4 linked regions of the Rhinolophus ferrumequinum genome follow. The protein of the gene in region 2 interacts with the protein of the main gene of each other region in a pairwise test. Links are inferred from orthologs where the notes say so. Each region holds a gene or a part of one and is shown on either strand. Other genes may lie near its edges. The genes, in order: PDLIM7, ENKD1, PNMA2 and MID2.

Region 1 (7,218 bases), on a different chromosome or scaffold from region 2:
GAGCCACGCCCTGCACGCCCTGCTCTTATTTGTCCAGCAAAGCCCCAGCCTCCAACAGTGCCTGGCAGTTGCCCATGGCCAGAGACATTAGAGAAATTCATGTAACCAGGCTGACTGCACTCTCTTCACCAGCGTGATCTCAAACCTCACGGAGACAGGCTCTCCATGCTGCCCAGAGATCCTGTGAAGCATGGAGAAAACCAGAGTACCTGGGAAAACCAGAGTAGCTGCTTTTTCCCTCCCCAAGACCTTCACCTTCTCTCCACCCCTGCCCATTCCCACCTTGCAGATATCCAAACAAAGAGTGGCCCACAGAAGTGAAGCGCCTCCACCTCCTCCCACCTACAAGTGCACCTGCACTGTCTTCCCGACCTATGTTGGAAGAAGTGTCTGTTCCCAAGACGTCCGTGCTCTGACCCCAGCTCTTCTCCCCTCCTCACAGCTCGGCAAACTGACTTGTCTCCTCTCTCCTCGACCCGTTAATTCCATCCTCCTCATTTCCAGCCTCACCAACATGCTCTATAATTTCACATCTTTAAAAGAAACCTTCCCTTGACCTCAAATTCTCCTTCAGCACCTCCCCACTTCTCTGTTCCTCTTCACAGAGAAAGTCCTCAAAAGAGTTGTTGATTACTCTCATTTCCACTTTCCTCCATTCTTCCTTCCGACTCGTCTCCCCGTGGTGCCCACTACACCATTACATTGCTCTTATCAGGGTCACCAACCTCCTTGTTCCCCAAAACAAAAGCCGCTGGACTCCCTTTGGGACCAGGACTCGCCCCACGTCTCAGCAGCACTTGACACTCCTCCTTCACTCGTTTCCCTCCTCCCCTGCTCCAGCTCTGCCTAGGGCTCTGGCCTCCGACACAGTGTGACTCAGCCCTGGCTGCACGGAATCACCTGGGAGCCTTTAAAAGATGCCCACGCCTGGGCCCACACCCAGGGGCTAGGGCTTCAGTCCAGCCATTTCTTCAATTCCCCAGGTGATTGCAGAGTGCAGCCAGGCTTCAGAACAACAGCCCTAAGTGAGCCAATCCTGTCTCCATGTCTCCCAGACGTGGCGTACCTTCAGTGCAAACCTCTCCAATGAGCTCTGGATTTAAGTGTGCAGCTGTTCAAGATTCTGGGTGTCTAAGATTCATCTCCAAATGTCATGTGAAGGGAGGCTGGGGGAAAGGGGCTGCGTGCAGTGTGGCCACAGATGGCAAAGCCTGAAAGGATGTTTCAGCCACGGGGAGGCAGATTTTGGCTCCACTTATGGACCTTCCTTGTGATGGTAACGTCTTCTCATGAGCCATCTGGCTGCCTGCCGTAGAGCAAGCTGAGACAAGGAGGCTCCAGTCAAGTGTCTGCTGCAGGGACCCCTCCACCCCATGGTGGCAATCCAGCCCTTGCCAGCTCAGCAAATCCCAGTTCACACTGTAGGTTACCGAGAGTGTCAGGGACATAGCCAGAAAGGACCCAGGACTCTGAGTACCCAATCTGGTGTGCTTCCCTTTATTACAAATCGAAGCCTCTTTGTTTCATGGCAGTGGCTGTGAGCTTCCCACCACACTGGAAGCAAAAGTCTTTGGAAACAGATTTCTGGGATTTTAGGGTCGTTGCCCTGCCGCTGCAAGTGTCCTGGCCACGAGGGGGCAGTGTGTCCTAGCCCAGTGCCTTTCCCTACCCAGGGGCTGCCTATGCAGGGAGATCTGGTGGCCTTCCAGGTCTGAGTCTTGCACAGTCCCAAGGAACCAGATCCTGGGGTCCTCTCTGCTGGAGGACTGCCAGGACCCCCCGGCTGACCCTTCTTCCTTCGCTCAATTTCTGTTTCACCCTCTCATTTTTTTCCTTCACAGCAGGGACACTGTGTGCAGGCACTGGGGAAAATATGGACAAAACAGACAGCCCCTGATCTCATGGGACTGACATTCTAATGGGGACAAAGGGCAATGAAGAAACAAACACTTAATATAATGTCAGATGGTAGTAAGTGCCCTGGGGAAAAATAAAGCAGGATAGGGACTAGTGCATGATGTAGGTGAGGTGTCAGGGGGCTGCTGTTTTAGATAATATGAATCAGGGAAGGCTCCTCAGAGGCAACATCTCAGCAGACACCTGAACAAAGTGAGCGAACCTGTTGTTTAGATAACTGGGGGAAAATGTCTCAGGCAGAAGGAGCCGCAAGTGCAAAGGCCCTGAGGCAGGAATATGCTTGACGTGTTGGAGGAGCAGTGAGGAGGCCAGAGGGACTGGAGTAGAGTGACTGAGGAGGAGACAGGTGGGAGGTGGAACCAGTTTATTAGTGCCATGTACATCTTAAGGACTTTAATTTTATGTGCAACATGAGCCCACCAGAATGCTAAAAGCCAAAGGTGATGTGCTACAATTTTTGCTTTAAAAATATCATTTTGGCTGCTGCAAGGAGAAGATTCTGGAGTGGGTCAGGATAGAAGCAAGGAGATGTGTTAGAAGACTGTTAAGGGGTCTAGGCACGAGATGGGTGGCAGCACCGATGGTGGCAGTAGTGACCAGATGTGGAACATATTCTGAAGGAGGAATTTGCAGAATTTGGAGTATGACAGAGAAAGGAAGGAAGGATAACTTCATAGTTTTTACTGGACCAGGTGGATGAACAGTGGTGCCATTTACTGAAGTGAGGAAGGAGCTAGGGAAGTGGGAAAATCACAAGTTTAAATTGGGACATAATGATTTGCGATATCTAGTAGACATCAAGTAGAGAGGTTGGACAGGTGGTTGGCTATTAGAGCCTGGCGATCTTGCGGGGAGGTCAGGGCTACACACATAACTTGGTAGTCCTTGGCATATGGGTGGTATTGAAAGCCACAGGACAGGAGGAGGTCTCAGAGAGGAAGTGTAGAGCGGAAAGATCTGATGGCCAGGCTGGGGGACAGATGACGACCTTCCAAGGAGGTGGAGAAGCAGCAGCAATGGAGGAGGAGGGATGAGGCTGGGGAAAGTTGGAGTGCGCCTGGACCAGTGCTGTTCCTAGGTAGAGTCACAGGAAAGCTGAAGAAGCACCACTGATTTGATAACTCAGAAGTCTTTGGAGACCTTGAGAAGAGGGAATTAGTTCAGAGAATTGAAGTGGGGAGGACAAGAGCCCGACTGGAGTGGGTTCAAGAGAGAACAGGAGGAGAGCAAGTCGAGACAGCATGACAGAATTCCTTCGAGGAATTTCACTCTCAAGGGGAGTAAAATAAAAGAGCCATAGCTGGAGAAGGACGTGCGGTCAAGAGAGGATTTCTTTAAACACGAGACTCGTACAGCAGTTTGTGTAGTGAGGGGAATGATGTACAAGAGGGGGGAAATGAGATGATGGCGGAAGGGGGCGAACTGCAGTGCCCATGTCCTAGAAGGAGCTGAGTTCACTCACCCGCACACTCCCGGTCTCTGCTCAATTTCCTCCTCTCCGCCTACGCTGCTGCCCAGGTTGAGCAGGGACGGAGGAGCAAAGTGGGGACTCTGACACCCCCACTGGAGGCGCTGCCCGCTTTGGAACGGAGTACCAGGACACATCCCACCTCGACAGTGTGGGGCCAACCCTGAGCCGTGCTAACCGACCAGGGTCAGAGGGCAGGGTCACAGGGCAGGCTCAGGGCCCAGCCAAGGGGCCCCTCCTCTTACTTCCACCCACTCCTACCATTGCTTTCTGCTTTCAGTGCTGTGCAAACATAGCTTCAAATTTCCCTGTTCCCCCTTCAACTGACACCAACTCGATGTGTGCCCCCCACCAATTCCCTCAGCCGCCGATGGCTGAGCCTTACGCCAAACAATGCTTGTCTTCACGGCGGCCCTGTGAAACGAGCATTATCGTCCCATTTTTCCGAGGAGGAAATTAAGTTTCAGAGACGACTGTTTCCAAAGGCGGCTTTCTTTTCAGTCGACCAATAGGAGGCGCAAGGGGCTGAGCGAGCGGCGTCGCGAAGCCCAGGCCCCGCCCAGACCGCAATCCAGGCCCCGCCCAGACTCCATCCAGACCCCGCCCAGACCCCGCTCCGGCGAGGGGACCCTGGCGGGCTGTGTTTTCCAGCTCAAAGCGAGATGGGACTTCGTGATTGGGCGGGGCGGAAGGATTGGGTGGAGCTTCCCACCGCCGGAGAGGCCAGTAGGGGGCGTGACTTCGATGGGGCGTGGCCTCGGGTACCGCCCCCTTCCGCGGTCTCAAAGCGGACGGCGGACGCGGGGGCGGGGTCAGAACACCTCGGCCAGTCCCAACGCGGTTCCTTTGAGCCCGCTGCCGAGCAGCGCCCCGGAGGGGCAGAGCAGGTACCGGTGACCGCGCGGGAGTTTTGGGCTGGGCCAGGGAGGGGGCTGCTAGGGAGCACAGAGGACTTTAGGGGTCGTGGCCAGCACTGAGCTTCCTCCCGCGGGCGCGGGCCCCTGCCTTCGACCCCGCCTCCGCCTCCGCCTTCCTGCGGCGAAGCCGGCTGCGGCGGGGCCGATTGGCGCCTGCCCTGCTTCCTGCCCCCGGGACTTGTCCAATATTGTGGGGCCCAGGCAGGGGAACCAGGGGGAAACTGAGTCACGTCTGGATGTAGCAGGCCTGTGTGGGAGGCACCACTTCCACTGAGCCCCAGGATGAATCTCCTTCCTGGCCATGCTTTGGGGTCCCAACCCCCACCGATTTCCGCAAGGGCCGCACCCCTGCCCGCCCCCAACCCCCAGCGCCCAGGGGTCCCGCCCTGGCTCGACTGGTCCCGGAATGGCTAGGACCCGCTCCAGCCCCCTCCCTTTCTCCCCCTCCCCCCGGAGTCCCGAGCCCCCGGGTGCTCCCTCGGCTGGCTCTCTGCACAGTGTCAGCTTACACGCCTTATATAGTCCGAGCAGGCTCCAGCCGCGGCCTGCCTGCTGGGACCTGGGGGCGGGGGAGAGGAGCGCCGGCCCCTGACTCACCCCACCGAACGAAACTCAAGGCTGGCTTGGGGGGAGGCCGTGCCACATTAGCTCTGCCGCCCACTCCTGGATGAAAAGAACCTAAAAGCTAGATGCGGGCTCTGCTCACCCTCAACAGTCCCTGGAGGAGGGGGGTTGTTCCTGTCTTTCCAAAGTGAGACCTGCCAGCCAACAGTCCAGCCAGACCTGACAAGGAGAGGAGCCTGACTACCTGTGCCCTGGGTGTGCTCAGCATCTGCCCTTGCCTGCCTGGCATCAGTCCAAGGCTGGTGTATGGAGCTGCACGTGCTTGTGTACCCACCATACCAGCCACTCACCTTTCTCTCCTCTCAGGAGAAGGCACCATGGATTCCTTCAAGGTGGTGCTCGAGGGGCCAGCACCTTGGGGCTTTCGGCTTCAGGGAGGCAAGGACTTCAATGTGCCCCTCTCCATCTCCCGGGTAAGCCTAGGTTGGGGGAGGGTCTCCCTCAGGAGTCTTTGGGTGCTCCAGTGTGTATGGGGAGTGTGGGAGGGATCTGAGCAGGAGTGAACCAGGGCCAATAGGCCAGGAGGTATCCGGGTCCAGAGGTGTGGGGGGCACCTGCCATGAAGACTCCCAACTGGGTTACTGGAAGAGGAGCCCCCACACTTCCCCAGCACTGCACTGTATCTGATGCCACTCCAGGAAGCTCCTGGGGCCACCTCTGAGGCCCCAGGGGTGCCCTTTCTGCAGGAGGGGAACCTGAGGTCTCTAGGAACTGTCTGAGCAGCTTGAGGGAGCAATACTTGGAGCCAGGCTCCAGGCAGGGCACTCTGACTGCAGGATCTCACTTCAACCTCTTTGCCACCCAGGAAATAGCCATTATTATCGTGGTTTTCCACATGAGAACTCAGGGCTGAGAGATGGAAGGGCTCTTTCTGAGTCCATGGTCAAGCAGGAATTGGCATTAAGGTACTAGGATAGCTGCAGTTTGTGGGTAGGACTCCGGGTGGGTCTTCCAGCCTATGTGAGGACCTCCATCCCCACCCACTGGTCCCTTACTGGATGCAGTGACCTTTGACCCCTAGTGGGTGTGGAATGAGGTGTAGGGCTCTGACCAGCTCCTGAGAGCCTGCCCTGGTGGGGGCGGAGCTGGGGGCTGGCTCCTCCCTGTGGCAGGGGGATTGCCTTATAAGCCAAAGAATGCAGCCCCACACTGGGATGGCTAACTGGTGGCTATAGTCTGCAGAGCCCAAAAAGGCTTGCCTAGGCCTGGACCCCTGAAGCCCATCAGTGGGTGCCTCAGCTGGTGACTACCAGTCCATGGCTCCAGTTGTAAGGCACAGAGAACAAACTGCCTACCTAGGCACAGTGAGGTCAGCCCTTGGGCTGGAGTCTGACTAGTCTGGGGGTTAGGAGGGGGTGGGGACTTCCTGCCCCCACATCCGCCTGTCCAGAGAGGCCCACCCAGGCATCTGGTGGGCAGGCAGCTGTTGGCAGGAAGCCCAGGGCAAGCACAGCCCAGAGGGGGCCAGAAGGTTGTCCAGGCACTGCCCAGCCTTAGAGGTGCCCCAAGGTGGAGTAGGTCTGTGGGAGTTGGGCTTGGTGGCCAGGGCAGGGAGTTGGTTACCGTTTTTCCCAGGGACTTTTCCGAGGGGTTCCCCTGGAAACTGCCCGGTCAGCAGGGTAGTTAAGGGCAGTGGTCCCCCTAACACACACACACACATACACACACCCCTGTACAATCCTCAAGCCTTGCAGCCCTGGAAACCTGTCCTATATCCCCCTCCCTGGGAAACTGCTGGCTAGTGTGGCTGGGGAGCTGTAGGCCTTGGCTGGCATCTGAGCCTCAGTTTCTTCTTTGGACGGGATGGGCAATGTAGTGGTCTGGGGGGTGTACTTTCAGATGTGGCCTTTTGGGGGCACTCTTGGCTCCCTTGTCAGCAGCCCTAGCATGTGGGTGGGACCACTAGCTGAGCCCAGCCCTGGAGTTGGACCTGGGCCCTAGTGGGTGGGTGGGTGGGGTGGTCTTTTATGAGCTGGGGCGGTTCTCTCCCTCTCCCCTGACCCCAGCATGGAGGGAGGGACTAGGGCTGGCTGTGGGCCCAGGCCTGGGAGATGAGGTAACGTCTGGGACTGGGGGGTTGGGCTGCTCAGTGGAGCCCTCAGGCTGACTCACCCCCCACCTCATGCAGTGTCCAGCCCCCTGGCTTTTTCCCCCTCTTTGGTCGCTCTGGCCTCCTTGCTTCTCTCTCCAGTCACCATCCCTTCCTACTATCCTAGTTCTCCTGCTTTTCTCTCCGCCGCTCTGACCACTCCCCTACCCCTCACGTGCTTCCTATCCTCCTCATTCCCACTC
Region 2 (7,808 bases):
CAGAAACTTGTAACCAAGGAAGCCAGCAGGGTTTTGAACCCTAGGGGTGACTGAGCCTACAACTGGTTCCAGGTTTGTCCTGCAGCGCCCTCTCCTGGAGGAAGACAGCATCACCTCCCAGGACCTGATTCCCAAATCTCAGGATCTTCCTTGGGTCAAAGTAAAGTTTTTCCAAGCCAGAGAAAATGTGGTTAACTTTTCCTCTGTGGTATGGCAACCAGAAGAGAACTTCCAAAATACCTGTTGCTTATTTTGGAAACCCCTTTCCAAATCGAGACCTCGTATCCAGACAATAGCAGTAGTCTCCTCACCTCCCTGTCCCCAGTCTCTCCCTTTCTCACACTGTCCTGCACACTGCTGCCCAAGCGACATCTCCAAAATGTCAGGCCAAGAGCCCTCCTTACCTACACCCCTCCCTCATCACTCCCAGATTCACCCAACCTGGTCTCCTGGTGGCCTGCTTCCGCCATGCTAAGTGGCCCTCCTGCATGGAGCTGCCATCTTCCACACTAGCAAGGCTTCGTGCCTGGCATATCCTCTGCCTGGAAGGCCACCCAGCTCTCCTTCAGGAGTCAGCTAGAGGCCTGCCTCTTCACTGCTTCCCTAGACATAGTGACAAGTCACCTCCGCCACCTGTGGTTCCACAGTCTTGCTCCTCAGGTCTTCCATGGCACATGTCTCTGCACCATGCTGCTTCGGCATTTTTCCCTTAGAGTGAGCGTCTAGGAGCAGTAGTGGTGACTTGTTCCTTTGTGTCGGGAAATGTAGCCTCGTTCTTCTATAGTTACTGAGTGTGTCCTTTGTCACCTGTGGAAGGTAAGGACAGAGCTTCCTTATCAGTGCTGGCCTGGTCCACACCTCTAGCCCTGGAGACCACACAGAGAAAGCAGATGCTCAGCCTTTTTGGGTCAGGTCTTCACCAGAGCCCCCAGATCCACAGATCTGCAGGGCTCAGGAAGGGGCGGGGCCTCCCTGGCGCCCAGGGTGTGGTCTCATACAAGGCCACTTCTCTCCAGGCCTTTGCTTCCTCAGCCATAAAAAGAGGAGGTCAAGCTCAGTAATCTTGAAGGACCCTCTATCTCTGAAAAATCCCTGAGAATCCATGCTCATCCCTGTGGACAATATTCAGTCTGCATGGTCTCTGTGGACAGTATTTCCTGGGGTGGTCAAATCACTAACCAGGGAAAAGTGTCAACAGGAAGAAGAAATATGTCCAGAACGCACAGCTTGCCCTGTGGCCTTGCCAAGGGGCTGGTGAGCATCCAAGCGACCCCTAAAGGAGGGAGCATCCCGTGCTGATGCCCGTTTTCTCTCTTCCAATGACCTTGCCAGGCCATTATTCCAGGTCCCACACATGGCTCTGGACGTTGGATGGCCTCCGCTTTTCAGATCCTGACCTATCCCTCTGTAGCTTCCTCAGGTCCCCACCTGGTCTCCTTATCTTTTTATGCTTTTTATGGGGGTCCTCTGCTAGTGGATGTGATGCAATGACACGGGCCCTTGGGGAGTTCAGTCTCATCCTGAAGACAGCTGTGACCCACAAGGACAGTAGTATGTGGCTACTTTAATGCAGGGCAACACTGGGAGTTGCCCAGCTCCGCAGGAAGCAAGGTGCCCTGAATCTTCACGGGTGCATGTGCACTAGCCAAGTGGAGGGGTGAGGGAATAAAGGCATTTTAGACAGGGAAGCCCCATGTGCAGAGACTGAAGGTAAGAAAAGGTGTGGCTGGTCAGGGAATGATAGGAAACCACTGAAAAGTTACAAGCAGCTGGGCTTAGATGAGAGTACTAGACGGGGAGCAACACCATCCGGGGTTTGGATGTGTGTGTCGTAGGTTCACCAGCCTTGATGATTGATTAGCTTGTAGGAGTCAACAAGCAAAGAACAGGATGGGGTCTGGGGTGACACCAGGATTTTGGCTTGAATGATTGCGCAGATGAGATACAGGAGGAAAAGCAGGTTGAGAGGAGGAGGAATTATTCGTTTAATTTGAAATTCTGTTTTTAAGGTGTCTGAGGGACATGCAGTAGGACGAGGAGACAGCAGGGTATTAGGGTTTCCAAATGGCCGGCACTGGCCACCTCTTCCAGAGACCCCTGAGGATGAGAAGCAGCAGTTATCTGGTGGCTTGGCCTCAGGGCTCCAGGGAGACCATTCACCACCACCACCACTCTCTGCCTGCCAGGAAATAGGCACCAGGGGCCACTCTGGGGGCAAAGTGTGGTCCAGCTGTGATCTAACAATAAGTGGAAAGCATCCCAAAGCTTCCACTCTTGGGCAGGCGAATGGACTCTGCCACCTCAGAGGGGAGAATCCCAAGTGTTGGTGCCCTGAAGGTCAGACCGAATGCAGACCCCTTCCCAGGAGACAGCAAGGCCATGCACCTGCTTCCCATGACCTGCCAGTTCCTTTCCTTTCTTTGCCCCAAGTTCCTCATCACCTCCCTCTCCATCCCCACCATTATCCTGTCCGAACTTCAGGTTCATCGGAGACTTGAAATGCACAGAACAAGTCCCTACCCCCACAGATTGATTCAGTTAGGTCTGAGGCAGTACCCAGGAATCTACATTTTTGTCGAGTTCCTAGGCAATCCAAATGACCCGTCAAGTTTCAAACCCTGCACTGGGGAATCCTCCACCCTCCTTCCCAGCCTCTCCCTCTTCAGGCACCTTATTTGGGGAGTCAAAGTCTGAGAAAAGGAAAAACATTTATTTTCAGCAAGTCCAAGGTGCCAAGTAGGGGCAGGGGCTATATTCCCCCCTCCTCCCGAGGGCTTGAGCCCATAGGCTGCTGCTCTGGTTCAGGCTTGGGAGGAAGGGAGCCACCAGGGGGTAGGACAGTCATTTGTACTGAGGAGAAAGTGGGGGTACAAGTGGGGCTGCACAGACACTTAGCATCTTGTCGATGTCCACCTGAGTTGACTTATCCACCTCAGCCTTGGGGCTGCTGCTAACCCCCAAGCTGGGCAAACCCCCAGGCTCCTCTCCAGCCTCCTCCCCCAGGGGAACCATAGCATGGATAGGGGGCACGGACATAGTGGGGCAGGGCACAGTGAGGCCTGAGCCAAGCTCACCTGCCACAGGCAGCAAGGCTGGCAGTTGCTCCACACCTGCCTCCTCGGGGACCAGGGTCAGCTCCCACTCAGGTTCCACCTCGGCTTCAGCCTCCCTGTCCCCCTCCCCTGCCTGGTTCAGCTCAGGATTGCAATAGTTGATGTACTGGTACAGAGGCCGTAGGCGCTGGACCTTTCCTGCAAGGATCCAGGGCAGAACGGGGGCTGGAGTACCAAGCTGTGCCATGTCAGGAGTCCAGCAGGCAGGGGAAAAAAGGAAGGCCCAGGGACTGCTACTCACGCTCTAGCCCCAAGGTCTCTGAGGGTGCAGATACTATGCTGGCCACAGCTGGGAGCACTGGGGCCCCCGGACTCTTGCGCTTCTTGGCTTTTTTGTGCTGTTTGGCAGTCGGTGAGGGCTCACTCCGACCACCCTCCGGGTCCTCCCTCTGTTGTGGCGGCCCCTGTGGCAGCTCAGCTTCAGCCCTAGGATGGGCTTGGTGGCTAGGCCCTGGGAGGCTGGGGGACAGGAGGCTTGAGGAGGCCGCCTCCATTCCAGCCTTGGCTCCTGAGTCCTGAGCCTGCGGAATAGCCCTGCCTCCCCACACCCTGGGCCCAGATTCGTGTTCCTTTCCTGGTCAGTGAGGCCCCAGCCTGGACCAGAGCTGAGAGCTCATGTGAGCTCAGACCCTGCAAGGCCTTGAGACTCTGAATGCTCCCTACACCAGGACTCTTGAGGGACAGAAGGAGTGAGGAGTGATGGTGGTGGCAGAGAATAAAGATGCACACACTGCAGGACTGCAGGATTTAGGAATCCTACCGGGGTGTGAGCCTCCCAACCCCCCTCAGCCCTGCAGCTTCTTCCCTCTGAAAGACCCCTCACTTGACTGGCTTCCTCTTCAGACCATGACTGGACCTCACAATGGAGGCCGTAGGCCTGGGGCTTCTCTCCTCTAGTGCCTCCACCTCTGGCTTGAGCCTCTCTTCCTCCAGCTTGAATGGTTCCTCCTGGAGCTCTGGCTCTGAGACTGGTCCTGTTGGACATTTGTCTTCACCGAGGGTCCCACTGGCCTCATGGACTGGCGCCAAGCACTGGTTTCCCATCACTGGACACTAGAGGTGACACACAGGTAACTGGTCACCATGGCCAGTCAAATGATACAGGGATCAGTCATTAAACACCCAACATTAGACACCAAACGTGAATAAAGGGCACCAGCCCATGGCCCTGCCCGCCTATGGAGCCTGTCCTGGCCGTTAGGGGGTCGACGCACAGAGTTTGGCCTCCTAGAGCGCCACGACCAAGAGTTTGAAGGCTAGACAACCTGTAGGTCACCTCAGAGCTCTGAGCACCGCCACCGGGCGCCTCCGCAAGCTGTACGGGCCCCTCAGTCGTCCCCTTTTGGGCCCCTGGGCGCCTCTCGGCCCCTGCCGAGGCCATAGCTGCGCAGAGTCAGCGCATCCTCGACGGCTGCTGATGGGAAGAGGTGGACGGGCCCCGAGGGGCCGGACAGGTTCACCCTTCGCTGACGCGGGAGACCGACCGGGAGGCGAGAGCCGGGGTGGGAAGGGCGACTGGAGACTACTCTAGCCCCTACCCTCAGCTGGAACTACAAACCCCAGGAACCTTTGCGTCGGGGTATTAGCCCCTGACCTCAGACGGAAACCATTGTTGCCTGGCAACAGCAAACTCGTCGGGTGGCAGCTGCGGGCAGTCTAAAGCTGTTCTGGTGAGCCCCCAGCCCGGGTGTTGAGAGGGAGGGGCCACGACCGGGGCAGGGAAGTGGGCTAGGAGCGGAGGCGGCTAGTTGCAGGCCGGGGACCGGGAATGGAGGCAACGCCGGGGTCAAGGTCCGGGTCCAGAGAGGAGGTCGGGGGCCCGAGATGTTTAGCCCGGCAGGCCTCGGTGCAACATTGCAGGGCGACGGCGGCGGCATGTGCGAGGGCCTGTCCCGCATCTCGGGGCCCATCCCCCCAGACCCTACGCTTTGTCCTGACTACTACCGACGGCCGGCCTCGGGTGAGTAGAGGGTGCCGCGGCTGAGCGAGGCCCGAGCGAACCTCGGATCTCTCTCCACCACTGAACGCGGCACTCTGATTTGTCCGGCCCCTCAGCCCAAGGGCGCCTTGAGGGAAACACGCCGAAGCTGGACCTGCTGACCTCGGACGCGGACCTGGACGTCACCCCGCCCCGCGGCCCCCGCATCCGTCCTGGAGCTGTAGAGATTCTGGAGCGTGGTCGGCGCGGCGTGGGGGCCATGCTGCTGCAACTTGGGGGTATCTCCCTAGGCCCAGAGGCCTCTCCCAAGAGTAAGTTCTGGGCAGAAGGGGCAGCAAGGCAAGTCGAGGTTAAAAAGAGATCAAAAGCTGCTCCTCCGGCCCTGACCACGGCTCAGGCTTTGCCTTTCTGAATGTGTTTCCCCAACTATAAAGGGAGGGGAAAATGCACTACCTCCTTACAGGAGAGGACTGAATGAGGTAGTCCCCAGGAAACCGTAGATCAGCTTTATGAATTCATTCATCAGTGAAACTTGTTGAGCGCTTGCTCTGTGCCAGGCCCAACAGGTGCTAGGAAAACAATAAGGTTTAAGACAAGCACAGGCCATCACGGAGTCCAGGTGGGAGACAATGAACAAGTGAAGGGATGATTATATATAAGATGATTAATGGTGTACCTCACAATAAAAATGTATAAAATAATCAAGGATAGAAGATAATTACCACGTCAGGAAGGAAACAAGGTGGTAAGATGGAGTATCTGTATAGGATCTAACTTAGATGGAGAAGTCAGGGAGATCTTTCTGTAGGAGGCAAGGTGTGGGCCTGTGTGTGAACTTGTATAAGTTGGGTTTCATGGGCTGTATGCAGGGCGAGTCTGGCAACATCTTTTCCCCAGGGAAGGAACCTAAAGACCATGAGAAGGAGAATCTGAGACGTATCAAGGAAATCCAGAAGCGCTTCCGCGAGCAGGAGCGCAGCCGGGAACAGGGCCAGTCCAGGCCCCTGAAGGCTCTGTGGCGCTCGCCCAAGTATGACAAAGTGGAATCCCGGGTCAAGGCCCAGCTGCAGGTACCTGCCTCAGGGAGCCAGAAGTATTGTCCATCTTGTTGGCCAAGAGGCAGTTATACCCTGATCTGAGTTATGGGGAGGGAGGAAAATCACAGGGGACTAAGGTAACAGGAGACTTAAGAGAGAACTGGTTCTGCAGCAAGGTGGCTCTGGGGATCCTCAGAAGTGGTGATGGCTGGGTGAGCCTGAGGGGCAAGTAGGAATTAGGCAAGGGGAGAATGGAAAAGAACATTCCGTAAAGATGAAACCTCACAGATAGAAGTCCTAAGACTAGAGGCAGTGTGGGCAGTGGGGGTGCTGTGTACAGTTTACTGTGAGGAGAGAAGAGCACAGAGTTAGGCTAAGAAGTCAGCTGGACCCACGTCATAAAGGGCCACATAACCCCCTTTTCAACTTTTTTTTTCGAAGGTCAGGGGCAGGGGTATGGTGGTGAGATTCTGTCTTGGGTAGATAGTGGCACCATTTCTCCATACAGAGGTCTCAGAAGGAGGAACAGGATTGAGAGTAAAGAATAAGGTCATATGTGGATGTGTTGAAGCTGAAGCATTTGTGGGACTCCCAGGGGGTGCGAGTGTGTCCAAGAACCAGATGGAGAGTCAGGTCTGGATCTCAGGAGTGAGAATCAGGAGTTATTGAGGATCAGACTAAGGATGATGAGACCAGGGAACTGACCCGGATTTGAGGGCTTGGAGGCCAGCTGTTAATGACCTTGGGGACAGAGCCAAGAAGCTTGACTAGGAAGGAGAGAAAAAGAGAATGGTAGCTGGAGCCAGGATTAAGGTAGGATGGACGGTTTGTTGTTTTCTTAAGGATGTGAGAGGTACACATGTTTATATGATAATCATGATGAGTGCTCCTTCAAAAAGGAGGAGGCCATAGCCCTAGGGATAGAGGCTCGGTCTTGAGACCTTGACCGCAGCCTGACTGATCCCTCTTCTATGCTCTGCCCTCCAGGAGCCCAGCCCTGCCTCTGGAACAGAGCCTGCCCACTTCCTGCGGGCGCACTCCCGCTGCGGCCCTGGGCTCCCACCACCCCGTGTCCCCAGTCCCCAGCTAACCCCACTAGGTCCCAATGCCAAGGTGAGAGAATGTGTGGGGGCTGGAAGGTGGGGCGGGGGTTCAGGGACACAACACAGTGCTGTCTGTCCACATGCTGCCATGTCCTGCAGGGGCAAGGCCTGGGTGTGGACTTCATTAGCCACAATGCCCGCACTGCCAAGAGGGCCCCCCGGCGGCATTCCCGCTCGCTGCAAGTCCTGACACAGGTGCTGGAGCAGCAACAGCAAGCCCAGGAGCACTACAATGCCACACAGAAGGGCCACGTGCCCCACTAGTAGGTCCCACTGCCGAACACCCAGGGTGAGGGGTGCCTGTGGCAGGTGGGAGCCAACATCTGCCCTGGAATCATCAACCCTGAGCCTGTGCATCCACAGCTTGTTGGAGCGCCGGGATCTGTGGCGGCAGGAGGCTGAGGCCCGCAAACATAGCCAGCCAGACCCTACCATGCCCCCTGGCCACACTCGCATGCCTGAGAACCAGCGGCTGGAAACACTGAGCAATCTGCTGCAGAGTGAGTATTTGAGCTGGATGGGGAACTCACTGGGGACCAGGTACCCCTGCCCAACACTAACCACCTGGGCCCACTGTAGGCCAGAGCCAGCTGCTGCGTGAGCTGGTACTGCTGCC
Region 3 (8,170 bases), on a different chromosome or scaffold from region 2:
CTGTACACTTTAAAATAGTTAAAATGTTAAATTTTATGTTATGTGTATTTTACCACAATTAGATGGGGTTTTTTTTTTTAATTTAACTAATTATATGATTAGTTAAAAAATCATCTAGGAAATCAAGAACAACCAACAATTATGGATTATTACCATTTCCTTCTCCTACCCAAGCCCCTCTCTCCTTTTGAACCCAGATGGGTCTTAGGTATATTGGAATCCTGAACCATAAATGTTCATATTTGTGTCTCCTCTTTCGAAACAATGTGGCCTCTAAAGTATCAAATTAATGCCCTTGTTCTAGGCTCCCAGCCAAATCTCTACCACACATCCTGCTAACTAGGCATTCATTTTGTTGAACAGGCTAATCTATTATCAAACACATATCTCTGGGGACAACTTGTGTATCAGTCATTCACGGAAGCGATGGATGCCTTGAATCATTGGGATTTCTCTCTAGCTAAGATTAACACAAGGAAGGGATTTTGAATGAGAGAAGGGAGGGCAAAAGGGAAGAGAGTGATTTCAGAACTCGTTGCTTTTGGAGGAAGAAAGCTCTAGAAGGGGCATCGCCATCACAAAGGGGCAAGGGTAGCATTAAACATTAAGAGGGCAGCAGAGTCCCTGGGCACCCAGGGCTGAGAGCTCATCAACATGGGGAGAAAGAATGGAGACATAGAATGGAAAGGCATATCAGAAAGTGTTTTACAGACTTGGTGGTTTTGTCAAGTTCAGCAGCACTCTCATGTAGTTCCCTGACTGGCACCTGCCCCCAGAGAAATGGACAATCAGTCCCCTACTACCCTACTCTATGTAGGCTGTTTGCTGCAGGGAAAAGGGCCTGGGAGCCCCATTGGAAGGGATGCTCATGATCCAGTTTCCCTGGTGGGACAGCTGGTTCTGGCTAACATGTGTCTGAGGTAGAATGGAGGGAATTCTTAGGTGGAAGGGAGGAGGCTGAGGGACCCCTGGGCACTAGCAGGAAAGAATACAGCCAACAGTAGTGTCCTTCTGCTCTCTATTGCAAGAGGCTCAGAGTCCCTAACAGGTGGTCACCAATTTAACTGCACTGCAGCCCAAGATGGACTTCCCCCAAGGAGACAAAGGGAAAAGAGAGTAATGTGATAGAAACTTTCCTCATTTGCACTCATGACACTGGCTCTTCCTTTCACCAAAACCTAACATCCCAGCCCAAGCCACACCGAGTGCTTTCTGGTGCTGACTTGTTGACATTTGCATGCTGGGATACATGCAACTCAACATCCCCTAGTCGCCCATAAGCCATGTGGCATCCAGGCTCTGGAGGCGTGTTCCCTCCCTTCCCACCACCTTACTAGAGGAACAGCAGAACTCCTAGGGTGGCAGGTGGGCAAAGCCCCTCTGCATGCATTAATAACACCTATAAACACAGATTTAGGGAAGGAGGAAAGATGTGAGATCCACTCACTCTAGTGTATCCCCCCACCTCTCTATGTGCCAGGGCTTCAGATAAAAACATACTAAGATATTGGCTGTCACCCTACTCATTAGCTGAAAACTACCGTGTTTCCCCGAAAATAAGACCTAGCTGGATCATAAACTCTAATCCATCTTTTGAAGCAAAAATTAATATAGGACCCAGTCTTATTTTTCCGTAATATATTTTACTATATAATATTGTATATATTATTATATAATATTTTACTATAAGACTAGGTCTAATCTAACATAATATAATATAAGACCGGGTCTTATATTGATTTTTGCTCCAAAGGAAGCATTAGAGCTGATTGCCCAGCTAGGTCTTATTTTCGGGGAAACACGGTAAGTAATGGCTACCTGATTCAGTCAAAATGGTGGGCCCAACTGTACTTTTGGAAATCACCATTGTTACACACACACACACACACACACACACACACACACAAATGGCTTTTGTGTCTTGAATAGTCATGAAATATTCAAACACTGTTAAGTACTGATCCTGGTAAATACTCTTAGTCATGAATGAAACAAATCCCAAAGGAACAGCCCTTACATGATAAGGCAAGATTGAAAATGAAAATTCAGGGAAGGCAGCAGAAAGACCAAGCCAGAATCACCCTCTGCAACTAATAACCAGGCAACTGAAGCAACTTTGGGTTTCCAGAGGCTAAAACTGCCTAGGGTTTGGTTTCCTCTTCAAATCTCCCTCTCCATGTGCTCTAGGTTTATCGTTCCTATTAAATTTAGAAAGTGTTCAAACAAGTAACTCTGATGATCAAATATTGGAACTTCTAAATGCATAGAAAAAGAGACGTGTTATTCAACCCAGTGAAACTTTGCCTTTCAAATCTGAGTTTTAATTCACTGCCATCATTATCAAGAAGACCACTGTCAACCAGCACCCCTTGAGCGGCCATTTTTAAAAATGATCTCTTCCTTATCGTGAGGCATTTCTCTGCGCCCTTTAGGACATTAGAATTACCAGCACAACTTGTTTAAGAGGAGGACACTCACACAAACGTGTGAGTGGCACTAGAGGTTCTGCTGTTCCTGCTATAATGATCATGGTTTGGCCCTCACCTAGTGTATTCACGTAGGAAAGCATTTCACACTCACCCAGCTTTCGTTTTAAGTTACATTACTAGAAGCTTTTACTTCAGCTGTCTGATCACTTGGTACAAAGTAAGTTTTCTGGATTAAGTTCTTCTGGTTGACTGATAGTGAAACGCGGATATCCGGTGACCCCTCCCCCATATGAATAAATCAGAGCACAGGGCTGGGAGAGAAGGAATTAAGTAATTAGTTGCCCCCTTTTGAAAATGACAGCAGATGGTTTACCTTTCCTAGAATTGGTCCAACAAAAGTGAAAAGCTGCAAAATTCTATGCCACATCAGGAAAGAGCAACATGTTTGTGCCATGAGCACCAACTCTTCGTTGTTCTCTGATGTGTTCATTAAAAGCACATTGTCTGAAGCCCCGGCAAATAAATGCTTGTGGAATCACTCAGTGACTATGTATAGGCCACTCCCAACTACTCTGAAAGCCCCGTAAGAAGAAATCACCTTGAACTTTTTCTATATAGCTAACTTCCCCCTGCCCCACAAGGCAAGGCACACAATAAGTATTCAATAAATAATCAATCATTGACTGATTTCTCATTTTCACCAATGGGCCTGGGAAAGAAACAGCAAACAAATGTTGAAACAGTTCACACTGTAATTTATCAGTTGAGGAATTAAGGCTCTGGGGGGGCTAGAGGGAATGCACAAGTATGAAGGTCACCCTGATAAAGAAAAAAAAAAAAAACAACTGTGGTGTGAGAAGACGACTGCTCTTAAAATGCACGCTGTTCTTATTCGCCAGAGATGACGAACATTTTCTAAAATCAAGGTTTACCAAATTGGTCCTCTTTGTTTCCCCATTAACACTGTATGGAGGGTGCCAATCCATCTTTGACACTGGATCCAAAATGTGAAGGTTTTTTTCCCCTTTTCTTTTCACTCTTTGAACATAATCCACTTGGTCCCTATCCCCAAAGCGCCTCCCACATAGGGCGGGTTGGGGGGAGCACGCTGGGAAGCCCTTGCTTTAATACTTAGCGGAACTTTGTTCTCCACATGGGCTATTTAGGAGCGTCTGGGTTTCTTCGGGGGACTCCACCGCCTGCCTGGTTCTTCTCACGCAGCACACTGGAGTCAGGGTGATGAGATTCTCCAGGGCGGTCCGGGAGGCGCTGACCATGGTCCTGGCCTCCAGCTCAGGACGCGAGCGCGGAAGGCAAGGAAGGAGATGCTGTAGGAGAGCGCGCGCAGGGCGCGGCGGGGAGCAGCCGTCGAAGCCCCCGCCCCTCCTGACCCCCAGGGAGCCCGCCGGCCTTCATGCAACCCTCCACTGCATGCCCAGAGCTGCATCCAAAAAAGGGTGGGGCACCCAGACACAGTTGCCATCGGAAGGCGCCCGGGAGGATTTAAGAAGAATGGAACCGCGGCCCATCCCCATCCCCCACCTTGCGACCCCCAAGCAGAGGATCGGCCGAACCTTTACCATCACCACCCATCAGGCCCAGGAAAGCGCGGGCAGCCTTTGTGGGCGCACGGCTGCCACAGTCAAGCCCGCGCCTCTCCATACCTTTCGCGGAGAAGGGGCGGGTTGGGTGGGGTGCGTGTACATATGCGGGGAGGGGCAGGACGGTGGGCACGCTGGGATGCTCGGTTCTCCACCGAGCTGTGAGGGGGGCGACGGAGGGGCGATCTCTGCGCCGGGTCCTCCTTCTCAAACACCCCCACCACCCAATACCAACCTGGTCGTAGATGTTCTGCAGGGCTTCCTTGCCCGAGGCCCGCCGGATCTCCACCTTCCGGCCGGATTCAACAGATGGCTCCCCACCCGCGCGCCGGCCCTGCCGGGAGTACGGTGGCTGCGGGTCGGGACCCAAGTGGGCGACGTCCCGTTGCTGAGCCACCACCTGCCCCGAGCCCCGGCCCACCGACAGTGAGTCGAAGTCGATGGTCTTGTTCTCCGAGGACCCTTCTACCGGGCAAAACATGCCACAGAATTTCTGCCGGGGCTTGGGGCTGCCTGAACCCAGGTTTTTAAAAAAGGCAGGGACCTCTTCGTCCTCTGCCGCCTTCCCGGATTGCTTCCTCTCGGCCATGGCGCGGGGGGCTCGGGGAGGGTCCTCTGCGTCCGCCCGTCCGTCTACGATCCCTAAGTCTGCCTCTCTGTGCACAACCCTCTGCAGCGGCTGCCGCTCTCTGCCTACCGCAAGGTGCACAGAAAGGAAGGAGGGCTGGTGAGCGGGCGACCCTCCCTCCCGGTCCCTCCCCCTGACCCCTCTTTTTCCCCTCCCTGCCCACGCCCCCCGCCGCCACGCGAGCTCCGGCGAGCTGCAAAGTTGGGTCTGGGAGGGCGGCCGCTGCGGCAGCGGGAGTGACAGGCTGCCTGCGGGTTCCCGGCAGCTGCAGGCGGAGGGAGGTGCAGGCGGGGCGCGGCGGGGGCGGGGCGAGGCGCTGGGAGCTCCGGCCCGAGCTGAGCGCAAGGGAGGGGGGGAGGGTTGCACCGCCCAGAGCCCCGCGCTCCGGAAGTGAAGCTGCCAGACCACCGGCTAATGGATGGGGAGCGGAGGGCCCGCTAACAGCTCTCGGCTCCAGGGTGAGTATGGGATAGGCACGCTGGGCGAAGACCCGAGGGCGCAGCCAGCCCCTGGCCCTCGCGCCCTTCTACCTACGCGACCCAGGCGCCTCTCCCCCACCGCATTGCGGAGGTAAACCGGGGGCTAGGGCCCTTTATGGGGAGGGCTCCCTCCTCTTACCTCGGGCATGAGCTGATGGATGAGGAAAGGGAAACAAACTGGCTGGCGACAAGACACCGGGGGAGAAGGGAAGAGGCCGCAGTGAGGATGGGGAGGGAATGGCGCAGGCCGTGCGGAGAGGTGGGGGCCATGTCCCGATGCGCGGGACACCAAAGCTTCAGTCTACCTACGGGCTTTGGAGGGCTGTTGGGGGCAGAGAGTGAAACGAGAAGGTTCTCGCTCAGTGCATCCACAGTTGTGGAGGGCGCACAGCACGGCAGGGAGAAATGCAGAGGCGGAGCAAATGGTGGTGGATGTGGGGTATAAAGAGACATAGGTCTGCGTGCTGGCGAGTGTAGCCAAGAATACAGTGCAAATTCCGGCCCAGCACAACTAATACATAGAGAGGGTGCCTGAGGGCGCCACGTACCGTAATTGCGCCACTGCGCCACGAAGGGCCCAGGAGAATGTTCTGATTTGGTATCTTATGCCCCCACCCTCCAAAGGGAGGGAAAGGCACAGATTACAATCCACTCCCCAAATCTCCAGCCCTTACTTGTCTGCCTCCCCTGTACCCCCGCCCCTGTTGCGCACTGCGCCAGAGCCGCGTGCGGGGGCGGTGGGGTGGGGGCATATGTGCCCGCGCAAGTCCAGTGTGAGGTAAGAGATGGGGCTGTGACTGAATGCTTTGAATTGTATGAGGCCAAGCAGGGTAACGGTGTGCGGAGACGTGGTTGTGTATGTGCGGGTAGACCAGGCGCAGCTACCTGGTTGGTGGATATCCAGAGAGCGTTTTGATATGTGCCAACAACACCGTCACTGAGCGCGCTTCATTGCTCACTCCCATCCCCACGTACTTTCCTTGTATCAGTCTTTGCCCCTGGTCGATTACAGCCCCGCCCCTTTTACTACGGTGGCAATATCCTGCAAAGACGATGCCCATCCTTTGGTGGTTCTAGAGGGAAGTCTGGGCATGCTCAGTAACGAGGGTGGGTTTGGGCTAAAAGAGGCTGTTTGCCGCCCCGGAAAGTGTGACCAAGGATTCTGTCCCATTGTCAGCTCTTGCCCTTATTAGGATTCGATGTGGATACTCTCCCTCAACCCAAATGTGAGGGATAGTTTGGTGAATGGAGTTAAATTTGGAGGACCACCAGTCACAGTTTGAGGAAGAGCCCACCATGATAGGTGGGAAGGAGTCTCCTGATGAGAAGGGGAGAAGGAGGAAGGAGAACGATACACGTGTAGGGAGCTGAGAGACCCACAGGTGGACATTCAGACTCAGCACCAGATGTGCTTCTAATTTGAATAAAGTGCTTCCATACGAATTACATCATTTCCTACTTACGGCAGCCTGTGAGAGGAGTGCTTTTCCATCACTACTTTCCAGGGTAGGAAACAGATTTAGAGAGATTCAGACGCCTTGCCTAAGGTTACTAATTAAATGATCCAACAATCCCAGTGGGGGTCTTCCACCTGAAAGTATGGTCCCTTTTCCAAATTATCCTTATGTTAGAAAATACAAAATTTTTTACATTTTTTCCATATCCAAATATTTCCTTCCGTGGACTTACTGTGTATCAAAATTGGTGGTTCAATTGCCATCTTTTTATTTGACAGTTACCTTGCAGGTAGGGACTGCATTTGGAGGAAGAAGCCATGGTAGTTGTTCCATAGACCTTGGAAATGTTTCTTCCTGCACATTTGATGCCTTTTTACATCTCATGTTTCCTCTAAAACTACAACGTGAGAGGAAGGTCACCCCCACATTGAAAGGGAAAGGGAGGCATGGAGAAGTCACTGGGCTCAGATCCATGAGGCTGCTGGGCCAGGGCATTATCCATCATTTTGCCCTTCTGGACCTCGGGCACACTCCATGCCGCCAGCACCTTCCAGAAGGACTGAGGAAATGTGCCTGTAGCAGGAATAGCTGCCACGATGGCTACAGGTTGGCATCTGTGGCATATGGACCTCACTCGGCTTGATGGAGAGTTTCAGGCCTAAGGAAGAATGATCATGGCCGCTTAACACACGCGGTACAACAGAACTGGGAGACTTTAGGAACGCTTCCCTTTTTACATTACATTACCCACTCTCCACTGGCTCTCTGTAGATATGCTCTCTCTTTTCCTTTTTTCCTCAAATGATCCATTCAAGTTCAAATGCTACAACAATACTGTCTTATTAGTAACTTAACATTCATAGCAAAAGAAACACCTATTTGTGCATTTGCCTAGCCTGACCAGACATAACAAAAGAGCATGATTCATAATCCAAGTTTAACTTATTTGGCCCTGAGATTTTCAAAAATTATTAAATGTATATTAAATTCTTATACCTATATTATTATATTATATTAAAGTATATTATATAAGTTGTATTGTTATACTGACATTAATTGGTTTTAAGTATTCGAGTGATTTCTAATTGGACTTTTTTCATCAAAGAACTGAAGCAACTATATTGTTTAGTAGATTGAATTGTGAAGGATAGTCATATTTTTTAATAAACTCGCTGACAGTCTTCATCATTGGATATTATCAAACTATAAAAATACACCATTATTATTTATGTGCAACAGGGCAGCTTGACTTGGCCAGAGCTAAGAAGGATGCAGACACGCCATTGTATGGAGTTGGGTGACATCTTCATATAGTAGAAGCTGAATAAATCAGATCATCGACTCTCATGGAACATTGGAACACATAAACAGGTATCCAGCCACATCTCCTCATATCATTCTTCCCGTGGGAAAGATCTTGAATCCTGGCCATAAGTGGGCTCAGACATTAATTGGTGTGTCTGATGAGTATATTGTGGGGAAGCCAGATGGCAGGAGGGTCCCCAAGAGGGGAAAAAAAATCACTAGGAGCAAAGAAGAGATCTGACAGAGTGGGACAGCACAAATACCACGTAAG
Region 4 (8,176 bases), on a different chromosome or scaffold from region 2:
TCAGGAAAGAGGTTTGAGCTGGAGAGATAAAATGGGGATTGTACTTAAAACCATGGGACTGGAGGAGGTCACCTAGGGAGTGGGTATAGATGGAGAAGAGAAGCAAGGACTGAGCCTGGGGCACCCCAACCTTGGGAGACAGAAGAGCAGGAGGAGGAAACAGCAGAGCCTGAGGAACAGGAAGTGAGATGGGAGAAAAACCAGGAGGATGTGGCATCACAGAAGCCAGACTCCAAGTGACTTGGGGTGCTGGTTACGAAGGCATGGCCAGCAGGTAGGTTTAGGCTTGGATCTGAAGACTAATTAAGACTCCAGGAAAATATTTACCAATGTAATATAGATACCAAACGTATGTGTTTATTGTAACAAACACAACAATTCAGATAAATTACAAAATTAATTTAAAATTACCAAAATATGGATCAGAGAAGAATAAAAAATACCCGGAATATGCCATTTCTCCATACTGGGTACATTTATTTTGAACCACTGTCTCTTAAGCAGCCGACATGGCCTGTTCACAACTAGTTTTAGAACAATGTCCTATTGATAAGCCCATGCCAAAAGTACTTCTCACCATCCTGTTAAGCCCCCTGGTTAGAAAAGCCTTCAGGTCAACTTCTGGACTTCACACAACTAGCTGCTTCTTTTGAGAACAGTATGAAGGTTCCCTTCTGCAGAAGGAACAATTCTCTTGTGCAACAAAATCTCCGTTCTGTGATTTTTTATTTCTGAAACAGACTGGGCTCTGTGCTTCTCTCTGTAGAAAGTATCTGGAGCCATTCCCCCTCTCCCTCCCCGCCTTCTTAGCTGGAAAAAAGAGCCCATGAGCTGTCCCTTTCATGCTCTAGGACTGTAGTGTGGTAAATCTGCCTCAGATTAATTCAATTAAACACCTCAAGCTGAATCTGTCAAACGTCTTTTTTCCCCCACGGGACTGATTTATTTTGTTAATAGGATCAACACATGTTATATAAAAAGGTAACCATTAAATAATTATAAACAAATAATTTCATCACATGCTCCCAGCCAATTTTGCATCGCCTGCCAGATACAAAACATTTATTTTCATACATTACAGCGACAATGCATAAAACCACTGGAAGTGGGGATATTTTCAAAGCAGCTGCTTATGTGATGTGATTATCAAAATCTCCCCAACCCCCATCCCAACCCACACACTATTAGTCAGTCGTTCCTTTCAGTTAATACATCGAAAATCTCTGTTAAAATTAAAACATTATCTACTAATAGAGAGACAAATGAAGCTATTCATATTAAGCTCAAATTACTAATCCTTAATCAGTAAGGTCCTTTATAAAAGGGACCCAGAAGCTATTAAGTTTTGAGACGGGAAAGGAAAGGTCCAGAATATGGGCTGCTGCCTGGGGAGGGAAGGGGGTGGCACACGGGCTCTCTGTATAATGCTCCGGTCAGCCAGGGACTCGCTTGAAAGCACTGGCAGCTCAGGTGGAGGGGACACCGCTAAAAAGTGAAGGGCAGGGTGGTTTCTAAAGGACAAGACAGGGCATTAAAAGCAAATCTCCCCTAAGTGCTAGTTCTGCCAAGAGCTGGTTGGCTTGGCTTGGGTGTGTCCGCGATGAAAGTGGTCACTTCTTCACATGTTAGAAAACTCTCCAGCTATCTGTGGGGATCATATCAAGTGAGGTTAAAGAATTCTAAGGGATCGATTGACTCAACTTAGTTTTTTTTTTTAACCTTTTTTAAACTACAAAAGAAATTCTCATGGTAGAATATTCAGTTATAAAATATATAGAATCAAACCTGAAAGATCTCCCTCAACACCCACCACAATTCCAGGCTCACACTATTTACAGTGTGCCCCAAGTTCTTTTCTATGCATTCATGGAGATATATATATATATATATATATATATATATATATATATATATAATGTCTTACACAAATACAATAGTATCTATCTGTTCGTACACTTCCTCGTTCTTTTATTTTTTTTTTAAATTTACTTTATCGTGGGAAAAATATACATACAGTAGTCCCCGTTTATCCACGGGGGATTATGTTCCAAGACCTCCAGTGGGTGCCTGAAGGTATGGATTGTACTGAACTCTACATATACTGTTTTTTTCTATACATACATATCTACGATAAAGTTTAATTTACAGATTAAGCCCAGTAATAGTTTAACAACAAAAATTACTAATAAAATAGAATAATTATAATAATACTGTAATGAAAGTTATATAAATGTGGTCTATCTCTCTCAAAATATCTTGTACGGTACTCACCCTTCTTTTTGTAATGATGTGAGATGATACAACGCCTACATGCTGAGATGACGTGAGGTGGAATTTTCCGTTTAATAATTCCAGACCATAGTTGACCATGGGTAGCTGAAACCATGGAGAGCTAAACTTTGGACAAAGGGGGAGGGTACTATAACATAAAGTTTACCGTTTTAACCATATTTGAGTGTGCAATTCAGTAGCATTAAGCACATTCACAACGTTGTGTAGCCATCCCTACCCTCTAATTCCAGAACGTTTTCATCATTCCAAATAGAAACTCTGTACCCATGAAACAATAACTCCCTATTCTCCCCTTCCTTCAATCCCTGGTAACCTCTATTCTACTTTCAGTCTCTATGCTATTTCTTCTTTTAAAATTGTTTTTGAAAAGGTAATACATAGACATTATAAAAAATTCTAACAATAGGAAAGGGTATATCAATGTTAAATACTCTTCCTTCCTATGCTTGATCCACAGTGTAATCAGTTTTTTAGGTATTTTTACTGAAGAGTCTACCTATATAGAAGCATATGTGGACATATACCCTCCCCATTTTTTTACAAAGTAGTAGCAAACCATACACAGCTTGCTTTTTTCATTTGACAATATCTGATATATATATATATATATATATATATATATATATATATATATATATATATATAATGCCTATATATAATTCTTATTTATCCACTCATCTGTTATACTAGGATCGGTTTACTTCTGACCCATTAATTTTTTCAAAATTAATTAATTTTTTATCGTAGAAAAAAACCCACATAATGTAAAATTCACCCTCCCAACAATTTCAAAGTGTACAGTACAATATTGTCAACCACATGCACATTGTTGTGCAACAGATTGCCCAGAAACCCCTGCCACCCCATCCTGCATGACTGAAACTCTACACCCACAGAAACACAACTCCCACCTCTCCTCCCCACCAGCCCCTGGAAACCACCATTCTACTTTCTGTTTCTATGAGTTTGACTACTTTAGATACCTCCTGTAAGTGGGATCATGCAGTGTTTGTCCTTCTGTGACTGGCTTATTTCATTTAGCATATTATCCTCAAGAGTCATCCATGTCATAGCATAATGGCAGGATCTCCTTTTTTAAGGCTGAACGTATATGCCACATTCTACTGTATGCATACATGACATTTTCTTTATCCATTCATCTGCCAATGGACATTTAGGTTGCTTCCACCTCTTGGCTATTGTGAAAAATGTTGCAATGAACATGGGAGTGCAAATATCTTTTTGAGAGTCTACTTTCAATTCTTTGAATATATTTCCAGAATTGAGATTGCTGAATCATATGGTAGTTCTGTTTTTAACTTTTTGAGGAACCTCTGTACTCCTGAGGTTTTTTTCCATATTGGTTGCACTGTTCCCACCAACAGTGTACAAGGGTTCCAATTTTTCCACATCCTTGCCAACACTTATTATTGTAATGGCCATTCTGACCGGTGTGAGGTGATATCTCATTGTGGTTTTGATTTGCATTTCCCTGATGATTGGTGATGTTGAGCATCCTTTAATATGCTTGTTGGCCATTTGTACGTCTTCTTTGGAGAAATGTCTATTCAAGTCCTTTGCCCATGTTTTAATCTGGCTATTTATTGTTTTGTTATTGGGTTGTAGGAGTTATTGATATATTCTGGATATTAACCTCTTATCAGATATATGGTTTGCAAATATTTTCATTCTTGCCTTTTTGTTCTGTTGATTCTATTGCTGTGCAGAAAATTTTAAGTTTGATGTAGTTGCCACCTGTCTATTTTTGCTAACCTTGCCTGTTCTTTTGGTATGACTGAACTCATTAACTTTTACTTCTCCTAGAGCCAGACTTTCATCAGGATAGTCTGGTTGTGACTTTTGCCTTCATTTCCATCTCGGTGCTCGCTAGTACATTGTTGAATGGGGTGATGCCTAATTACTATTGGTTCCCTGATGGGATACACCCAGAGCTACCATAATTTTTCTGAACTTATTCCCATGCACAGTAATTGGAGGCTTCTGTGAGACGGGGCTGTTTCCTCCCATTTTCTAGCTTCTTTCCCCTTCATCTCCCTTTTTACCCCATGTTAGGAGCAGAATCTCCTCCGGGCCTCCTCCTTCTCCCCTCTGGTGTCCTTGTGAGTGGGTCAGTGGTCTCTGAGCCAATGACAGGTCAGCTGCCAGGCTGACTCCAGACCAATGAAGTTTCTGGGCTCCCGATGAACCAATTAGCTTATTAGGGACATTGAATACCTGGATAGCTGGCATCTGTCCCATTGTTCTCTTAGTAGGGAACCTCTTGTTTTGTCCATCAAAGATTTGAGCGTGCAAATGAAACCTTTTTTTTTTTTTTAATTTTGGTGGCTTTATTCCATCCCCACAACTTCTGCCCAAGGCCAATAAAACACAGCCATTCTCCTTTCGTAAAAAGAAAGAGGGGTTGGGTTTCCTTCAATTGTCTGCCTTTTTCTGTCTCCTCCACTATTTTTGTTTTACTCTGTAGTTAACTTTGCATAGAGCAGCTTCATCCGGGGACCTGTGCGGTGGGCCTGGGCACTCTCTCATTGCCAGTTGCAAGGGTCTTTTCCGTGTTCCAACCTGGGGGTTTGTGGGACCAGGGGCTTGGCGGGTGGCAGAAGAGTTGCCTTCTGTATTTCACACACATTCTGCGCTCTCTCTCCCTCTCTCTCTTTCTCTCTCTCTCTCTCTCTCTCTCTCTCTCTCTCTCTCTCTCTCTCTCTCGCGCGCGCGCGCGCGCGCGCGCGCGCACACACACGACCGCTCAGCACCTCTCCGTGTGTCTTCCTTCAAGATGACAGGGCGCTGGAGAAAAGGCTGCTGGAATCAGCTGGTAGGTACAGTAGTAACCCGAACCCCACCCACCCGCTGCCTTTGCTTGGTCAGGTTTCTCCCGTCACTCCTGCCTGGGGAGAAAACATGTAAACGCGCCTCCAGAGGAGGGGCTGGGGTAGCTGGGAGCGGCGGGGGAGGCTGAAGGTGAGGCCGGGAAGGTGGCCGAGAGCCCCCGCTGCCGGGCCCTTGTCCGTGCTCCCTCTGGGCGTCAGCCCCAACCCTGTTGGCCCCCACCCCACCCCCTTTTCGAAGGGATTGCTTTTTTTTTCCCTCTGCGGCGGCGGAAATGACAGTGTGGAGCTGCCGTGGTGTCATGGTGCTGCCCCTGGACTGAGGGGGCGAATCTAAAACTCTTAAGTTTGGAGCGTCGCGACCGCCGTGCTGTCCCTTGCGGGGCGCGCGGGCGGGCGGATCCCGGCTGCTGCGCGGCGGCAGCAGCGAAGGCGAAGGCGGGCGGCGGCCTAGAGCGGCGGCAGCGGCAGCTCGGGGAGCTCGCGCCAGCGTCGGAGCCGGAGCCAGCTCGCGGCGGAGGGAGGCGAGCGCCCTGCGCCCTGGGGCGCGCTGAGGAGATGGCCGGCGCCCGGGAACGCTCTGGGTAAAACGCGCCCCCTCGCCGCGGCCCCCGGGGGCCGAGCACCCCGCCGGCGCAGGGCTCGGCCCCGGCTCCAGCCGCCTCTCAGGTGCGGCTGGGACCAGCGCGGGCCGAGGACTCCGGGGCTCTGCGGGGCAGGGTGACGGGCCCCGAGAGGCTCGAGGCGGCGGCGGGGGCCCCGTCCTGGCCCTGACTCCACGTTGCGCCGTGGAGCCCCGGGTTCCCGTCGCTGCTGCCCTCCTGGGACGGAGTTTTCACTCCGGGTTGCGGGCGGGGGCGGCCCGAGGCCTCTCTCACAGCCGGGCCGGGCCCAGCGCGGCCAGTGGAGCGGCTCCTTCCCACGAGCGCCTTCCCACGCTCCCGCGGCCGGCAGCCTCCTCGGCCCTGTTGGCGCCCCTTGGCCGGCCGTCTGCCCGGCGGTAGCTGGTGTCGCAGCCCGATATGCTGCGGACACCCTGCCGGCGGGGAGGCCCGGCGAAACTTAATCCCCTTTCTGCCAGGGGAGCGACCCTTGAGTCTCCGTCTGGGTGGTTCCTTATTTCTGGCCTAGCTCTGAAAGCAGCTCAGGAGGGAGAGGGGAAACTTACATAGGTCCATTGGATAGACTGCGACTGAATCACGGAGAGGTGGGTTTTTTCCATTCCTGGCTTGTCAGAATTAAGTAAATAACGGTGGAGTAGATTTTCAGAAACACTTTTGGTGATGATAAGGTTTAGGTTACTTAGCACTTCATGCGCAGCACATTATTTCTGGGAGACATTTCTCAGAGCAGGAAATTGGGATCCTGGGGTCGGTGGTTCTTCACTTTCTCTCTTCTACACTCTCCTACAGCCTTCACACTCACGCACCTTCCTACAACATCATACACCTACCTGCCCACCCAAATCTCCCCCCCCCACCCCGCCATCCCACAGGCCCTTTCCCCCATCAACCTGTGTACTCCCAGCCGCCCAGCAATGCAGCTTCTTGCTTCTCAACCAGTTTCCCTATTTCAGGATTTCTGAGTGTGGGGTCGGTGGGTAGTGATGGTTGTGTGTCTCCGAGGAGGAGCCCTTATAAAAGAATATATTGGAGACTATGTAAATAGACAAGTACTGTGTGTGGGTTGATTCCTCCGATTCTCAGGTTGGGCCATGAGGGCTACCTTTAACCCCACTCTGTTCCTTCTCAGTATCAGTTCTCTGGCCATGTTCCAATAGAAGGGAAAGGGTGAAGAGAGGAGAGTTCCTCCCCTACTCCTTGCTCTACCCCGAACCATTACATCCCCCCTTTCACCCCTCTCCACTCATGACTGCCTGAGGGGGAAACAGTCTTTGCTGTTTTATATATTCCTGTCCAATCAATTAACTTAATGCAGATATATAATGTGAATTAGATTTTTCCTGATTGTTCCTCACAACTTGATTTATGTGGTTGAAATAGAGGTCTAGGAGCTAAGAAGATCAGAGAGTTGTCCCAAATCTGATGTTACATTGGCCTGAGGACATTCCTATGACCTTTCTTTCATAGTTGATGCATTTGTGTAAAAGGCATAATATAGTGTACTGGGGTTTTGTGAGTCGTGACTTGGTCCTTTGAAGATAATAGGGTTCTGTAAACCCTCAGCACTACACATTTCAAAGAAAGTGCTTCATTTACCTTTTTATTGGGACAATAGATTGACTAGGTATAAGTAGGAACCCTAGTTTACTGGAAATCTTAACTTGCCATTATTAGCCCCCCTGTAGCCAAATCTATCACTGTACTTAGGTCCTTAGCCTTTTTATTTTATCTAATGCACATACAACTGAATGAAACATACGTAAAACTAAGCATACAGACTAATGGTGATTATTTTAAGTCGAGGCTTAAATCATACCTAGTGTACTCCAACCTAACAATCTGAGTCAGATGCATTTGAAAAGGTAATCTCACCCATTTTTAGCCTTTATGGGGGGCAGTTAGCTAATTTCTACTGAAAAGTGGCATAAATAATTTTAGGCATGGCTCTATAAGCATGATTAGTATCTAGCAGCGGTGAGTCAACAATATTTATTAAGCACCTATAATGTTCAGAGGCCTCTGCTGACTGGGCTGAGGCCCCAGCCCTGGCCTAGCAGTTGGCACCCTGCTTGTTTGAGGCCTACCTCCTTACTTGCAGTTCCAGGATTAGGACAGGGAGGGGCTGTGTGGAGCAGGGGTAGAGGCGAGGCATATGAAGGGGCGATTGTTTCTCTTACTGATTTTCATGACTACTAGACTTCTCATCTAGCATGTTGTACCTTGCATGGCCACCCCCAGAACTCCTGCCACAAATCAGAATGACTTGGTTGCTTCATGAATGTATCATCTGAACAGTGCAAATTGATTTAGATGAAGTTGGTTTAGTTAATCCCTCCTCTTTAAGTGCAGGGCAACTTGCTCCAACTTGCAGATCCTAAAGCAGTGCCAGTGGAGTCTCATAATTGCATCCAAAAA

The links.
Region 1: the proteins of ENKD1 (region 2) and PDLIM7 interact in binary tests that used the Homo sapiens proteins (3 or more experiments, as listed by UniProt). The two-hybrid records come from large-scale screens. The link is inferred for Rhinolophus ferrumequinum from reciprocal best matches to the Homo sapiens genes ENKD1 and PDLIM7.
Region 3: the proteins of ENKD1 (region 2) and PNMA2 interact in binary tests that used the Homo sapiens proteins (3 or more experiments, as listed by UniProt). The two-hybrid records come from large-scale screens. The link is inferred for Rhinolophus ferrumequinum from reciprocal best matches to the Homo sapiens genes ENKD1 and PNMA2.
Region 4: the proteins of ENKD1 (region 2) and MID2 interact in binary tests that used the Homo sapiens proteins (3 or more experiments, as listed by UniProt). The link is inferred for Rhinolophus ferrumequinum from reciprocal best matches to the Homo sapiens genes ENKD1 and MID2.

Annotation. Positions count from the first base shown.
Region 1 is NC_046307.1:5,128,526-5,135,743, forward strand, and holds the start of PDLIM7 (PDZ and LIM domain protein 7), read left to right. Parts: upstream 1-4,152; 5' UTR 4,153-4,272; intron 4,273-5,232; 5' UTR 5,233-5,243; coding exon 5,244-5,339; intron 5,340-7,218. UniProt on the Homo sapiens protein: May function as a scaffold on which the coordinated assembly of proteins can occur. May play a role as an adapter that, via its PDZ domain, localizes LIM-binding proteins to actin filaments of both skeletal muscle and nonmuscle tissues.
Region 2 is NC_046298.1:17,287,630-17,295,437, reverse strand, and holds the start of ENKD1 (enkurin domain-containing protein 1), read left to right. Parts: upstream 1-4,753; 5' UTR 4,754-4,937; coding exon 4,938-5,073; intron 5,074-5,168; coding exon 5,169-5,363; intron 5,364-5,949; coding exon 5,950-6,122; intron 6,123-7,076; coding exon 7,077-7,202; intron 7,203-7,291; coding exon 7,292-7,455; intron 7,456-7,555; coding exon 7,556-7,692; intron 7,693-7,771; coding exon 7,772-7,808. Other genes in the region: C15H16orf86 (uncharacterized protein C16orf86 homolog), read right to left, coding at 2,842-3,251, 3,355-3,587, 3,937-4,166, 4,390-4,494. UniProt on the Homo sapiens protein: Microtubule-binding protein which regulates microtubule organization and stability. Promotes the stability of astral microtubules and facilitates the proper orientation of the mitotic spindle.
Region 3 is NC_046301.1:40,887,632-40,895,801, forward strand, and holds the start of PNMA2 (paraneoplastic antigen Ma2), read left to right. Parts: upstream 1-4,980; 5' UTR 4,981-5,116; intron 5,117-5,132; exon of another isoform or gene 5,133-5,228; intron 5,229-7,833; 5' UTR 7,834-8,170. Other genes in the region: DPYSL2 (dihydropyrimidinase-related protein 2), read right to left, coding at 4,266-4,619.
Region 4 is NC_046284.1:46,733,769-46,741,944, reverse strand, and holds the start of MID2 (probable E3 ubiquitin-protein ligase MID2), read left to right. Parts: upstream 1-5,017; 5' UTR 5,018-5,125; intron 5,126-5,190; exon of another isoform or gene 5,191-5,807; intron 5,808-6,326; exon of another isoform or gene 6,327-6,345; intron 6,346-8,176. UniProt on the Homo sapiens protein: E3 ubiquitin ligase that plays a role in microtubule stabilization. Mediates the 'Lys-48'-linked polyubiquitination of LRRK2 to drive its localization to microtubules and its proteasomal degradation in neurons.